2 linked regions of the Arabidopsis thaliana genome follow. The protein of the gene in region 1 interacts with the protein of each later gene in a pairwise test. Each region holds a gene or a part of one and is shown on either strand. Other genes may lie near its edges.

The links. Proteins that work in one complex are often made in the same cells at the same time.
Region 2: the proteins of AGL77 (region 1) and AT4G31420 interact in a two-hybrid assay, tested with the Arabidopsis thaliana proteins (one large-scale study listed by BioGRID).

What each region holds. Positions count from the first base shown.
Region 1 is NC_003076.8:15,510,329-15,518,404, forward strand, and holds AGL77 (AGAMOUS-like 77), read right to left. Parts: upstream 3,978-8,076; coding exon 2,697-3,977; 3' UTR 2,615-2,696; downstream 1-2,614. Other genes in the region: AT5G38720 (ribosomal RNA-processing 7 protein), read right to left, coding at 1-22; AT5G38730 (Tetratricopeptide repeat (TPR)-like superfamily protein), read left to right, coding at 573-2,363.
Region 2 is NC_003075.7:15,244,041-15,251,651, reverse strand, and holds AT4G31420 (Zinc finger protein 622), read left to right. Parts: upstream 1-3,593; 5' UTR 3,594-3,888; coding exon 3,889-3,993; intron 3,994-4,263; coding exon 4,264-4,830; intron 4,831-4,921; coding exon 4,922-5,091; intron 5,092-5,193; coding exon 5,194-5,412; intron 5,413-5,508; coding exon 5,509-5,665; 3' UTR 5,666-5,836; downstream 5,837-7,611. Other genes in the region: AT4G31430 (flocculation protein), read right to left, coding at 78-157, 268-346, 437-491, 595-659, 754-943, 1,201-1,371, 1,806-1,897, 1,977-2,083 and 3 more; AT4G31410 (E3 ubiquitin-protein ligase, putative (DUF1644)), read right to left, coding at 6,178-6,214, 6,504-7,393. UniProt on the Arabidopsis thaliana protein: Pre-60S-associated factor involved in the cytoplasmic maturation of the 60S subunit. Involved in the dissociation and recycling of other late pre-60S factors before newly synthesized large ribosomal subunits enter translation.

The sequences.
Region 1 (8,076 bases):
TCTTAGTATACACAACAACCATAGTTAGGTCTTTTCGGTTCTGTAATGAAACCTCATAAATCAATTAAGTAAGAATATAAACGCGAGAAAATTAGGCCTACCTTTAGGGAGATTACTCTTCTTCAGCTTTCTCGTCTCCTTCATCTTCTTTCTATCGCGTGAGAAGCAAAAACTCTGTCGGCGATTGTCGGCGTCGACGCTCTCGGAAAAATTAGGGATTAGTCAGGCCACGACCATGTAAATTAGGGTTTTTGCTTTTTGTGAGGTTTTGGACTGAAACAGATACAAGGGTAAAGTTGTTAATATCAGCAACACGAGAGGACATATACGTATTCTTGACTAAACCGGTCTAAAATTGGGTTCAGTTCGATTTATTACGTATTTTCTCTCGGGCCGTTTCCCGGATATTCCAAAACAATCGATTCGCTTCCGGTTTTGAATTCAGTCCTTTATCGGTTAATTGGTAAATAATCTGGTCTGGTTCATCTACTGGAGAAATTCAAACCGGTTTAGGCCTTCTCTTTATCGCCGTTGCTCTTCTCTGTTACTCCTACAACACTTGAGGAACAACAATGGTGAATTTGTTGTCAGCAAATCGAGAAGCTTTGATTGCACAAAGCATCTGTGCAACAGTATTGAAAGGAAACTGGAAAAATATTCTGAAACACAAAGTTGATTCTGGGTTATTGAAATCAGCGATAACCACTCAGGTAATCTCTGAGCTTTCTCTGTTTTCTGGTTATGGTGGACCTTCTCTTTCATGGAGTTTCTTTATCTGGACCGATTCTTTACCAAGTAGCAAACATAGTTTACAATCATCATGGAAAATGATTTTGATTCTCACAAAACACAAGCATTTCAAAACTGCACACCAACTGCTCGATAAATTGGCTCAGAGAGAGCTTTTGTCATCTCCTCTGGTTTTGAGATCTTTAGTTGGTGGTGTTTCTGAAGACCCAGAAGATGTATCTCACGTCTTTAGCTGGTTGATGATATATTACGCTAAAGCCGGGATGATCAACGATTCGATTGTGGTGTTTGAGCAGATTAGGAGTTGTGGATTGAAGCCTCATTTGCAAGCTTGTACTGTGTTACTAAATAGTCTGGTGAAGCAGAGATTGACTGATACTGTTTGGAAGATATTCAAGAAGATGGTTAAGTTAGGTGTTGTTGCTAACATTCATGTGTATAATGTATTGGTTCATGCTTGTTCTAAGTCTGGTGATCCCGAGAAAGCTGAGAAATTGTTGAGTGAGATGGAAGAAAAAGGTGTGTTTCCTGATATCTTTACCTATAACACGTTGATCTCTGTGTACTGCAAAAAGAGTATGCATTTCGAGGCTTTATCTGTGCAAGATAGGATGGAGAGAAGTGGTGTTGCTCCTAATATTGTCACTTATAATTCATTCATACATGGGTTTAGTAGAGAAGGTAGAATGAGAGAGGCCACAAGACTGTTTCGGGAGATTAAAGACGATGTTACAGCGAATCATGTTACTTATACTACTTTGATTGATGGATATTGTAGAATGAATGATATTGATGAAGCTTTGAGGTTACGTGAGGTAATGGAGTCAAGAGGGTTTTCTCCTGGAGTTGTGACATATAATTCGATTTTGCGTAAGTTATGTGAAGATGGAAGAATAAGAGAAGCTAACCGGCTTTTGACTGAGATGAGTGGAAAAAAGATTGAACCTGATAATATCACCTGCAATACTTTGATCAACGCATATTGCAAAATCGAAGACATGGTATCTGCAGTGAAGGTCAAGAAGAAGATGATTGAATCAGGGCTAAAACTGGATATGTATTCATACAAAGCATTGATTCATGGGTTTTGTAAAGTGTTGGAACTGGAAAATGCAAAGGAGGAACTGTTCTCTATGATAGAGAAAGGCTTCTCTCCTGGATATGCGACCTATTCTTGGCTCGTGGATGGATTCTATAACCAGAACAAGCAAGACGAAATCACAAAACTCCTAGAGGAGTTTGAAAAAAGAGGTCTTTGTGCTGATGTTGCTCTATACAGAGGATTAATAAGAAGGATTTGTAAGTTAGAACAGGTGGATTACGCCAAAGTGTTATTTGAATCAATGGAAAAGAAGGGTTTAGTGGGAGATAGTGTTATATTCACGACCATGGCGTATGCATATTGGCGAACAGGGAAGGTCACTGAAGCTTCTGCTTTGTTCGATGTAATGTATAATCGACGGTTAATGGTAAACTTGAAACTTTATAAATCTATCAGTGCCTCTTACGCTGGTGATAACGATGTTTTGAGATTCTTTTGGAGTCATGTAGGTGATAGATGTCTTATATCGAAGAGTATTTTACGGGAAATGAACAGAAGCGAGGTATTGTGAAGTGAGCCAACATATCACATTTATATATATGTACTTTAAAAGACACTAATAAGCTACGTAGTACTTGTTGTTTCTAGCTACTATAGAGTGAAAGAATACTGGTGTAGATATCCTCTGCATCAATCATGATACAATAATGACCTTTATGGAAAGTGAAAGTGCATGTACTGCTAAATACTATCCAACTAATAACCGTAAACAAGCTGTAGATCTGAATACATTTCAACAACAACAACAACACATCAAATTAATCATAAGAAATTAACAAAAGTCTGCATAACCGTAACCGTAAAGTTCATGCTGCATGCATTAACTGATTCAACCCAAAGTTGTTCACAGATTCTTGTACCGCCGAGTATGGTCTGCGTTTGAGACCCAAGGATGTTGAAAGCTGTTGTTATTGATGTTACCCATAGACATGTTTTGATGACAACCATAAAACTCCTTGTGCATCAACTGATTCAACCCAAAGTTGTTCACAGATTCTAGTACTGAGGCGCAAGTAACTTGAAAATTGTTGTTTGTGATGTCACCCATGCTCATGTTCTGATTCTGATCATAACCACAAAGCTCCTGCTGCATCAAGCCAGATTCTTCTTGTATTGAGACTGAAAAATCTTGATTGAAATTTGATGCAGAGAGTGGGATTTGAGAGAAGGTAGCATCTCCATGGTTACTCATGCACATGTTGTGCTCATAACCACAAAGATCGTGCTTCATTAACTGATTCTTCAACCCATAGTTGTTATTCACAGATTTTTGAACAGAGTAGTAATCTTGTGTGTTTGAGACAAAAGAATGTTGGAAGTTGTTGTTGGCTGAAAAATCTTGATTGAAATTTGATGCAGAGAATGGGATTTGAGAGAGCGTAGCATCTCCATGGTTACTCATGCACATGTTCTGCTCATAACCACAAACCTCCTGCTTCATTATCTGACTCTTCAACTCAGATTGTTCAAGTAACGCTGAGATATAATCCTGATTGAAATTTGATGCAGAGACTGGGATCTGAGACAGAGTATTATATCCATGGTTATACATAAACAGCGAGAACTGGCTAGGGTTCAAAGATTGGTTCAGAGAAGATATTGATGTTAAACTCTGATGATCCGGTTTTGTCTCATTCTGTTTCTGCGACTCAAGAAATCGAAGCCTTTCTTGGAATTTAGAGACATTGAGTTCTAAGGACTGAGTCAATTGAGAAACTTGGTCGGGAGAGTAATGATCAGCGAGTGGATACTTTAAAACATTCACGTTCTTAAGACTCGTCTTCTTCTTCTTGTTCGGATTCTTCAAACCCTTGTTCTTCTTCTTCTTGTTCAGGAACCCATGAAGATTAACGCTTTTCTTGTGTCTCAAGGCTTCGTTTAATTGATTAAACCTCAGAGCAATGTCTCGCACTTTCTCTCGCTCCTTAGGCCATGTTTTAAGTTCTCCGTCTGGTCCGTAATAGATGACGCAGGCTTCGATATCACAGAGAGTGCAAAGCTCTGAAGCTTTCTTGAATATAGTCTCAAGTCTGTTAGACAAACTTGTGGAAGCGAGTGAATAAGAAGAAGAGGAAGACGAATTGGAACAACGAGAGGAAGAAGGTGAAGATCGAATGGTCGTCATCTTCTTGTTGATTTTGAAGACAAACTCTCTGTGTTTGTTTTCACGTTCAGAGTGAAGAGAAAAAGCTAATGAATTAGGTTAAGGAAACCCTTAGATATGTCATATATTTATAGAGTTTTTTTTGTAGGCCTGCGAGACAAACTCGAACCGATAATTCCGAACCGCTCCGAACCGAAATTTTTGGTTCCGGGCTTTGCTTCGGTTAGGAAAGGAAAACCGATCGGAAGGTTTGTAAATTATGTTTGGTTACCCAGTGTTTCGGTTCGGTCGGTTAACCGATATATTTTTCTTCCTCTGCTTTCGTCGGAACTCTTCAGCCGCTGGCAAGCTTCTCTGGTTAGGGTTTTCGTAGAACCTGACAATTTAAAGAAGAATAATCAAAACGCTACATTTCAATTTTGGAATCGGTAGTTAAGAGGCCAAATTTTTGTTTTTTTTTACTAGGCTTGGCCCAAACGTGTATATTTTTACAGCGGCCCAAACTATTATATATTGGACCTGTTCGTTTCTGTGTCGCCTAATTTGGTCACTTTTAATTTTCATTGTATAGTTGAAAATACGTAGTTTGGGTTGGGAAGATAACATATAATTGCTTCGATCTAATTGGGTTGGACTTAGAATTAATGTCACATTTTAAAACCAAAACCAAACGAATCTAAATATGTTCATGAGATCACAGTGGTTAGGCTTTAACCAAAAACATTCAGGCCTTCACACTAAACCAAAATGTTAAAATCCCGGTTAAGCTCAAACTTGTTGCACATGATAATCATGACGTGTCACAGCTGGAATTTCAATTTCTTTTTTTCGAAACATGTCTTAGTCTTGGAATCTTGATTTTTCAAATTTTGAATTTTTCTATATAGCGGAAAAAATTGGAGTTAGACCGTTTGAAGAAGAAGAAAAACCTCTACAAATCTCTCTATGATATCTCTCACTTTTTAGAAATCCCTAAATTTTAATTTTTTTTGCAAAATGTCTGGAGAAGTTTTTTTTTCTCCGGCGATCTTGCTTGGTTCACCGACGAATTGTCGGCGACGATCATGATCCAGAAATGACGATCTCTCACTTCGTCTAGGTATATCGATTATCTGGTTAGTTATCAAACTCTCGAATTTAGGGTTTCTTTGAGGCAATTCCGATGATTATGAATTCTCAATTCCGATGATCTGTTTATGAATTGTGTTTCTCTGTTACTTGATTAGTTGATTCGATTACTGTTACAACACCTCTCGTTCTTTGTTTATGTTACTTAATTTGTTCCATCGGTGTGTTAATCTTTTGGGGTTTGATTTGTCTCGATCAATTTTGTTATTTCCTCCTCAATACCATCTACGATAGTTTTGTGATTCGTTTGATTTGGTTTTGTAAACGATCGCGAGATTGGGATATCTGTATTAGGTTTAGATTTTGTGAATGGGAATCAAAGATCAAGTGGTGTTGTGATGCTCTGTATCTGGTATAGATTTTGTTCTGCATCACTGTGTTTCCGGTTTGGTTCTTGGTCTGATTCTTTTGGTTTACTTTTCTATTTTTTACAGATCGTTTTGCCTGAGAACAAGAAGAAGATGATGGTTCATCATAGTTAACCAAGGAAGCGGCTCTAATCTTAGTTATGTTAACAAACACAAAGTGCCTTTGGTTTTGTTCAAATATTTGATCTATTCAATCTTTTTCTCCTCCTTGATCTTTTGATATTGGTCTTTGAATATGATGTTAAGTCACGTTTCTTCTTCAGGTGCAAAGTCCAGAGCCTAGAATGTGGCGTTTCTTAGAACTCAGAAAACAGAGAATTCTGGATTCGCAAATCAATTGAAGAATGTGTATACTTACAGGCACTTATTCGTATACACGCCGGCATTCATACATTCATACATACATACACGCCATGCATTCATACATTCATATATACATACACGCCATGCATTAATACATTCATGCATTCATACATTCATGCATTCATACATGCTTGCATTCATGCATCCATGCATTCATGCATCCATGCATTCATACATACACGCCATGCATTCATACATTCATGCATTCATACATACACGCCATGCATTCATACATGCTTGCATTCATGCATCCATGCATTCATACATACATGCATACATGGATTAGTTGCGTACTTGCTTCCCTTGCACCCTCATAATTGCTTCTTTGATTCTCTGTCTGATACTCTGTTTACTTACTTAAATACTTTGCTTGTTTGCTACTTTTTTTTCTTCTTCATTCCTTGCTTACTAATCAGCTTCCTTCTTTGGTTACTTGTGTGCTAACTCGATTCCTTATTTTTTTCTTTGATTCTGTCTTTACGTACTTGTTACACGCATACTTCTATGCATCATATTTGCTTGTGCACATTCATAATTTCTTCTCTGTTTCTTTGATTATGTCTTTACGTACTTGTTACATGCATACATCTATGCATCATATTTGCTTGTACACATTTATAATTTCTTCTCACTTGCATCCTTGATTCATTTTCTGATCCTTTCGCTTACATATTTTCTGCTTTCATTCCTTACTTGATTGCTTTCTTCTTTTATTTTTTCTTCCTTGCTTAATTACCAGCTTCTTGGGTTGTTTGTTTCCTTTCTTGCTTCCTTGACTCTTTTGCTTACTTGCTTGCCTTTGTATTTTCTTCCTTAATTCCTTGGTTAATTGGCTTCCTTGTTTCATTGCTTACATGCTTGATTTCTTACATACTGTCTTTTTTTACTTAATTCTTTGGTTAACTTGCTTTTCCTGTTTCTTTACTGTATTTCTTCCTTAACTACTGAACTTGTTTTAAAATTCTTACTTTCTATCCTTATCGCTTGGCATATTCTTATCTCAGTTTATTTTCCACTAAAATGTGTACTTTGCTTTAGATAGTACTAGGTTACTATTTGAAATTCTACAGATGGAGACTCTCAAAGGGTACTTTTCCCTTTAACTTTCTCTCTTTGTTTCTAATTTTGTTTTTTAGTAGTTTTAATTGTTCAGGGTTTGACTCAAACCGTTTGAGAGCTTGGTGTTTACTTGCAACCACATTCTTGGATTCTCTAACACAAGGTTGTAAGGCTGAATATCGTGTGAATCAGATAAGGAATAACTATTTTAACTTATCTTGAATCAATATACAATTATATTAATCGAAATAAGCTAGAGAAAGGTTTATTTGTCTGTGGTATAAGCAGTGGCATAAGTTGCTGGAAGAACTTGCACGATAGAGTAAAACAAGAATATCAACTAGCCACGAACTCCTACTTGTAAGTTGCCATTTCCAAATCTCAAGATAATTCTATTGGATCGGACAATTTGCCTTTGGTTATGTATGTATTGCTGGTCTTGTATACATTTGCACTGATGGAACACTGTTATTTGTAAACCGTTTTGGATTTTGTTAGCTTAAAGCACCGCAATCCGTAGCTGTGAAAAAATGTGAGAGATCAAGTTCTAGAGAAAAACCAAAAGCTAAGCAAGATTCAGATTTGTGGAAGTAAAGCTTTTGCATGATAATTCAATAAAATCATATTCAGGTCTTGGTTTCTTTCTATGGTTTGGAACTTATATAGTATGTTCTACTAGTTTTTGTTGTCTTCTCAAATCGGACGCAAATAATGTCTCGGCGTGCCTCTCTTATATGGATACACCATTCTGCTTATTTCAGATCTATCGCAATGGAGCATTAAAATGGTCGTGCGTCATATTTGCGTATGTTTCTTCAATCTTTCTTATTTCTTTTATGCTTAGTCTTTCGACTTACTTTCTCTTCTCTTCTTCAGACGTAGAAGATTATATTAGTCTCTCAAAAACAAATATTTTGTTTGAGTACTGTACTGATCAAACACCCATTGGTTTGCTTCACTTTTCACATTTCATTTTACTTTGATGCAGCCATTCGAGTCCAAAGTCAAGATCTATTTAGAGCAATCAAAATACACATTTTGAAAAGAAGTAATTGTTTAATTTTGTTATTGAGAATTTACTTGAAGTTTTGTGTTTTCTTGAATTGGGAATTTTTTTTTTGCAGGTCTTCTTTCATCCTTGCACGGTGAAGAACAAAGACTCTGCTTCCCTTTCCAGGTTTCACTTTGATTTTTATCAGATA
Region 2 (7,611 bases), on another chromosome or scaffold:
CATCAATAGGAGCGCAAGTAAATTAAGAGAACCCAACTAAAAATCAGAACCAAAGGAATTCAACATCCAATGTATACCATTTGTGGTGTTTCCGATAGTAGAAGTAGGTTGGATAAAATCGCCATCTTGATCATTGAAGTCATCTACAGCAGTTCCACTGTCGCATACAGTTGAAAAACTTCAGAAGATTGATATACTAAAAAACATATCTGTCAAAAAGAAACAAGGTACAATCTGTGTTGGAAGGATAAGCACAATAAAAAGAACCTTTGAGGAGCGGTATTCGTATCTTCAGATGGCTTGACTCCTTGTGTGGAGATAAATGTCTCCTCCAAACCAACTCCACCTAATCAGAACACATTAAATCCATGAGACAGAGTATAAAAAGCGAAGATGAGAGAGTGTATACAAATTAAGGATTAAGGGAGAAACTAACGAGATCTAGTGTGTAAAACTCCTGTTTCTTTGACGGCTTGATTAGCTTCCGTAGTCTTCACTCAAGTAAAACACACAAGGACACCAAAACAAGAAAGATTGGAACTGCAAGTTTTTTCTTGGTAATGAGAGACACATAGTGTAAAGAGTGCTTGATACCTGATTGTGCTCAGAGGTAGGTATGGCTGAATTTGGTAGAGCTCTGCTTTGTTCATTCCGTACAGCTGAAAGAACAGAAAAGAAGAGTTAATTTCAGTTTCAACTCATGTCTTACTGAAAAACTTCTTCCACGTGTGAATAAAGAAAGAAAAAAAACACCTCCATCAGCATTCAAAGACGAAGCATTTCCTTTGAGCATATCAGTCGCTAAAACATAGGGGCTGTATTTAGGTTCCAAAGAGGCTACACTACTGGGACTTTTAAGCATTTCCTCGGTTGCTTTAGCTCTGACTTTGCGAATTTCATCTTGAATATTCCATGACTGATTAGAACCGGACTTCCTTTTCAGCTGCATTTGGTAACCAATGTCAGAATGAATAAGGGTAAATTTGAGAGAGCCATTGAAAATACATATAACGGTATGCAACTTTTCTTTAGGAATAGCTGGAAATAGTGTCCCACAAATTCCTCGTGGTTATCTAACATAAACAATAGAAGTTAAGCAGAGAATTTTATCTCATAAACCAAGATGAAACGACTTCAGACTTTCAAACAACATTTGACCAAAAGAAAAGTATGCACTGCTGGAGAACTTAAAATTCTAACCTTGGATGAGGAAAAGTTTCCAGCGCTATAAGGAAGGGGTGTCCCTTGCACTCTTGCTGATGATGGTGATCGAAAATCTAAATTATTCGCAGCTGGAGATCCCCATGGCAGACGAGCTCGCATATAAGACTTGGCCACGTCCACAGGCGATCCAGCACCATCTTCAGTTGCCTGGAGATTTAAACTAATGGCTGAGATGGTGATCATCATTTAAAGTACAATGGAAAAAGAATACTGTGAAGCGAAGCTATCAGAAGTTGACCAAAATCATGTAAGTAAATGGTCTTCATAGTCAAAAGAAGAGCAACAATATGGATCTTTTGCATTTTAAGCGGACAAAAAGGTATTTCCCAATCAGGACATTTCAGAATTAACGTCACCAGATGGCCACACGCAGAATTCTGAACAACCTACTTTTGCAAGAGAGCTTTAAGTTGCTGATCACATGGATTGGCATATAACAATCAAATCATTTTACCCAAACAGAAGATGTCTCCTTCTATAATAATAATGGCTTAGAGCACGGAGACAAGATATCACAAAAAAGTTGATACCTGCAGGCTGCAGCAATTAGAACAGTTAAGAAGCAAGTTTCCAGAACTTACTTTATACTTTGAACTTGATCCTGATTTCTTCTCCTCCAACCATTTTCTTGCTTCCATGACAGCTGTATTGGACATTTCACCCACATTCACGTCTAGAAATAAAATAGAAAAGAAGACGTTATCACATAGACTAATCCGGTCTACTTGCACAGTCTACCATCAGTAACATACCGCTTGTCAATCCATAGTCATCATGACTCGTCTCAATAGCAGAGGGGACGCTGGGATGATCTACAACCCTAGCCTTGATGATATCTATTAACCTATCACCCTCTTCCCTGAAACAACATACACATGAATGAATAAGCAGGATACAAGATCAGCTTAGATTTGGTAACTACACACGTCTCAGAAAGATTCTTTAAGCTATGAGGTGTAAATAATAAGAATAGTCGAGGAGGCTGCTACTTATGATGTCCAAAAAGCCAGGCAGAGAAATACCTTGCAAATGTTTCTTGCAAGAGAAGCTGCTCAATTACACGCTTAGAACTGAGTCGTTGAATGCTTGGTTGCTGGGCACTCAGAAGGTCCTATTCACACAAGCACAAAAACTGAAATTATGCTTTTATAAAAAAAACTCTCAGTTGAAAACGTGTTAGCTTCACGAACTTTACTTCAAACAATTATCATAGGACTACAGTGGCATAGCAATCACCAAAACGAACAAGGTGGTTAGTACCTCTTCAGTAAAATCGGGATTGTTCTTCTCAACATCCTCATCACCATCAATATCTGCAAACAAAGAAGAAAACATATAAAAATCCATACATTAAAAGAATAAGACACAACAAAGCTGGTTGGTATTCTCAATCCCAGAACTACATTATATGAATAAAAATTAGAGCTTTAGAATTAGTATGAAGTTTATAGCTTAGAAGTAACCTAACTAAATAGAGTACAACAATGCTTAACTGCTCTTAAGTCCCACATATTAAAGGAAAGAGAAAATGGGAAAGCTTTAAGTCAAACTTCACATTTCAAACGAAACGGTAGCTTTCAGATTCGACCAGACAATAAACCAAAAATTCAAATTAATCCTATCTAAACTGAAATAAATGGTACAAACCTGAAGATGAATCCTCGTCCTCCTCCGAAGATGAGGAAGAGTCGGAGAAGACGACGGAAGAAATGAATTTTCCGGCGCCGGAAGCAATTACGCTGGCGGGTTTGTAAACGAGCCTGGAGATCCAACTAGGGTTTTGCTGAGGAGGATCTCGGGATCTCTGAACGGGGCGCTCACACGGCGTCCTGACAACAGCGGTGCGTCGTGGTCGAACAATTTTCCCACCGACTCGAGGCTGACCTGCTCCGGCGGCGTAACCGGAGACGGAATCCATGGTGAAAGTGAGAGGAGGAGGGAGAAGTTCGTTGTAGGAAATAATGAAAGTGTTGAGGAAAAATTGGTAATTTCTCGTTATTTGTCGTCTTCTTGTTTTTTTTTTTAATTGGGGGTGAATAGTTAGTTTCCTAAATTACAGGCCTGCGGTTAAAATTTCTTCCACTAATAAAATTAGGCAAAAACAAAACATTGCGATTAAAAAAAATTAATCGTAGTAAAATCATGTATTATATTCTTCTCTTTTCATATTTTGAACATATCACATGATGTTTAGATCTTATAAATGCAGTAATTTAATAGAGAGATTAGAATTTGGAAGAAAAAAAAGTTACATGATTAAACGAAGTAATTAATCAAGTTGTAAGTAGTTATTTTAAAAACAATATTAGAAAAATGTTTTTTGGTTACTCATACAGTAATACTTAATTCGTCAACTGTGTCAGTGTTACAAAAAGGCTAAAAGAATGGGCCAAATGGGCTACTCTTGTATCGGGTCAGGAACGGGTCAGTTCCAACCCGATCGGATCTAAAATGGGCGGGGCGCCTTCCTTTTCATTTTGATGGCAATCAATCATCATCAATCGACGCTTTTTTAGAGACAAACACGATCGCCGATCCATTTACGAGCCGTCGTTGCTCTACACATATCAACAACAAATCTTATCCTCCCAACTATCTTTTCTCTGATTTTCTTTTCTTCTCCAGTTTCCATTTCTAGAATCGATCGATATTGAAGGAGAGAAGATGCCTGGTTTAACATGTAACGCGTGTAACATGGAGTTCAAGGACGAAGAAGAACGTAACCTTCATTACAAATCCGATTGGCACCGCTACAATCTCAAGCGCAAGGTTTCATTTCTTCTGCTTTCTCTATCGAATTTGAACTCAAGCCTATCTGTTTCTCGGGAAAATCTTGCGTCGGTGATGAGATGAAAGTTTCTGAGAAACAGCTTTTCCATTTTGCTATCGAAATTGTTTAGTTAAGGTTATGGAATCGTAGAGTTTATATGAAAATTTGTTTTGAAGCTTATTCTACTAAGGAACAAGGATTTCAATAATCATAGATTTGGTTACTTCTAGGCATTTGAATCTTTGTATTTCTGTAATTTTTTATGTTAGGTGGCTGGAGTTCCTGGAGTTACAGAAGCCTTGTTTGAGGCTAGACAATCTGCTCTTGCTCAGGAGAAGAATAAATCAAATGAAGCACCTATGCTTTATACTTGTGCAATCTGTGCTAAAGGTTACAGGAGTTCCAAGGCTCATGAGCAGCATCTTCAGTCGCGTAGCCATGTTTTGCGGGTTTCACAAGGGACATCAATCAACGGAGAGGAGGATATAGCGATTATCAGGCAACTTCCTCGCCGTGTTCAACACAGGGGTTCCATTGATGATGATAGTGAAGATGAATGGGTGGAGGTTGATTCTGACGAGGAATTGGCTGCTGAAGAAGCCTCTGATTCTTTGTCTAAGTTGAATGTGAATGAGTCTGGATCTGCTGAAGATATGGATGATGATGGTGATGCAGATAAGTATGAGCTGGATCCAACCTGCTGTTTGATGTGTGACAAAAAACATAAGACCTTAGAGAGCTGTATGCTTCACATGCATAAGCATCATGGTTTCTTTATTCCCGATATTGAGTATCTCAAGGATCCTGAAGGGCTTCTCACTTACCTTGGTCTTAAGGTTTGGACTCATCAATTTACCATTCAGTGTTCGTTGTTGTCAAGCTTTGAAATTCTTACTCCTGTTTACTTATACATTGCTCATCATTTAGGTCAAGAGAGACTTCATGTGTCTGTACTGCAATGAGCTGTGCCGTCCATTCAGCAGCTTAGAAGCTGTAAGAAAACATATGGAAGCAAAGAGTCATTGCAAACTGCATTATGGTGATGGTGATGATGAAGAAGATGCTGAGCTAGAAGAGTTTTATGACTACAGCAGCAGGTTTCAACTCTCTTCTATCTCTGATTATTCTTGTTCTCGCCTGTATTCCTCGTTCTATGCCAAATCTTAATCCGCACCTTTCTTTGGAATATATGAATTGAGCAGCTATGTTGATGAAGCTGGAAAGCAAATTGTTGTATCTGGTGAAACAGACAATACTGTAGAACTCGTTGGTGGTTCTGAGCTCTTGATCACGGAGAAGTCCGAGAACACAACAACGTCTAAAACTCTCGGGTCCCGTGAATTCATGCGTTACTACAGACAGAAGCCACGCCCAACTTCTCAAGACAGCAACCAGATAATTGCCTCTTTATCTTCAAGGTTTGTTTTCTCCAAACCCGTTAATCATCCGAGTCTATCCAATCAGATAATCGGCAAGGTAAACTAAGGTTATTCCAACAAATGGTAAATTCTCAGGTACAAGAGCCTGGGTCTGAAGACAGTACCGTCGAAAGAGGAGACTTTGAGGATGAAAGTGCGCAAGGAGATGAGCAAGAGAGGCGAGACAATGCGTACCAAGATCGGAGTGAAGAGTAATGTCATAAGAAACTTGCCCAATAACGTCCCATATTAGTTTCTGTGTATGTGCCACTTGTTCTCAAGTGTTGGATTGTATGATGATTTCATGTACTTTTGAGTCTTTGACCAAGTTGTGTTGCTACTTGGTAATAAGAGTAAGCTTTAAAAAGAGTATGTTCACTGAAATAGAAATGTTAAAAATTAATACACGAACGTTGACTTCTGATTTACTCTCAATATCTACATTGTCCAGAGATGCATGTAAAACAAAGAAGAGACAACGACAAAAGGGTACTACAATATCCCAAAAAGGCTTTTTGTTTAGTTTTTGTACAAAGGCTGCGACTGCTGCGAGTAATGTCACAAGACAAACCTAAAATAAAATTTATGTGTAGAAACAAAAAGAAAAAGAAGAAAGAGGTCCAAAACCAAGAACACTGGCTACAAATAGGCTGGTCTGCATCATTTGCTTCGCTTCATTTTCCAGCTGACTGAGAAAGAACGAAAAGGAACATTACAGATTCACAAGAAGACAGTACCAAAAGCATAGAAACAGAAGGTTAATACCTAATTTTCATAGAAGCGGGTTCGACGCCTTCTTGAACTGTAAATCAGAGAAAACAAGGCATCAAGCAATGTCTCTTAAGTAACCATCATATATAGCACAAGAAAGCTACTAAACCAGGTCAACACCCCAAGCTATTATGCCAGAAATATCACACAATGGGGCCTGATTAGCTAATTTGTCATTCAAGAGGTGCCTAAAAACCAGGCTCACTGGTAAGCCTTTAATATCAATGCAGAATAATTATAAACTATGAAAGTAAGAATGTATATCTCTGCAGACAGCAACAATACAAAATTAGTGGTGTAAAGCTATAGATTATTCTGACCTTTGGTGCATAGAGCTACTTCTGTTAGCTCCACTTGTGCTGATGAACTCGTCATCGATCTCATCTACTCTATACTCCGGAAACTCTATGGATGCTACTGAGCTGTCATCAGAGTTGGAATTCTCATAGCTAGAGCGGCGACTCCCTCTCCTACTCTCACTCATTCTTGATCTTCTTCGATTCCTGGCATTCCTTATATTGTCAAACATTTGATAGAGAATACAAGATGTCCACCAGTTTCCTTCATTGTTGGGAACATCCTCAAATTCATCTCCTGTGTCATCATCTCCATATTCGATCACATAGTCCCCTAAAACCACTCCTCTTGGAACTTCTGAGTGAATTGTGCTCAACACGTCGATTATTTCAGACGACTGCTGGAAATTCTCCCAGTCAAGCTTCCGTGCTGGATCAATTTCTGAAGGACGAGAATCCGGATGCTCTGACTGAGCATGTTTGCGAAGCTCCAAGTAAGTACCCATAAACCTGCATCGTTCTTCCTCACAGCAACGTTTTTTCTCATCAAGACGAAGACGAGCTTCTTCTACAACAAGCCAGCCAGTAACTTCTCCTCTACACAGTGGACACACAGGTTTGCAACTCTCTTCTAAAACCTTAGAGCGAGGCTCATCAGGAGCAGGAGGTGATTCAGTACCACAGGCGCTAATGAAACGATCCAAACAGTTAGAGTGAAGGTGATCAGTATTGCAGACAAAAGCACGGCAACCGTTTCCGTAAGAAGAACACTGGAGAAGCACACCATTGTGAGGGAAATCCAAACAAATGGGACAAGTTAAATCATCCCAATTGAGAGTCAACTGAAACTCTTGGGTAGAAAAGGTCTTGGCTTGAAGCCGCTTTTCACAAACATGTTGTTGTTCCAGAGCCATAAAGTTGCAAACTTTTTTCTCAAAGATCCGCAAATGAAAACAAGCTCAATCCAACTTATCAGGAACTCAGTCTCTGTATAATCACCAACCTTTGACGGAACAAATCCTTTCCACGTTACTTGATATTAGCTGAATATATGAATGTAAAAGGAGACTAATAAGTATTTTTTTCACAATCTCAAATCTGCAAATAAGAATGCAAAAGATAAAACCTCTAA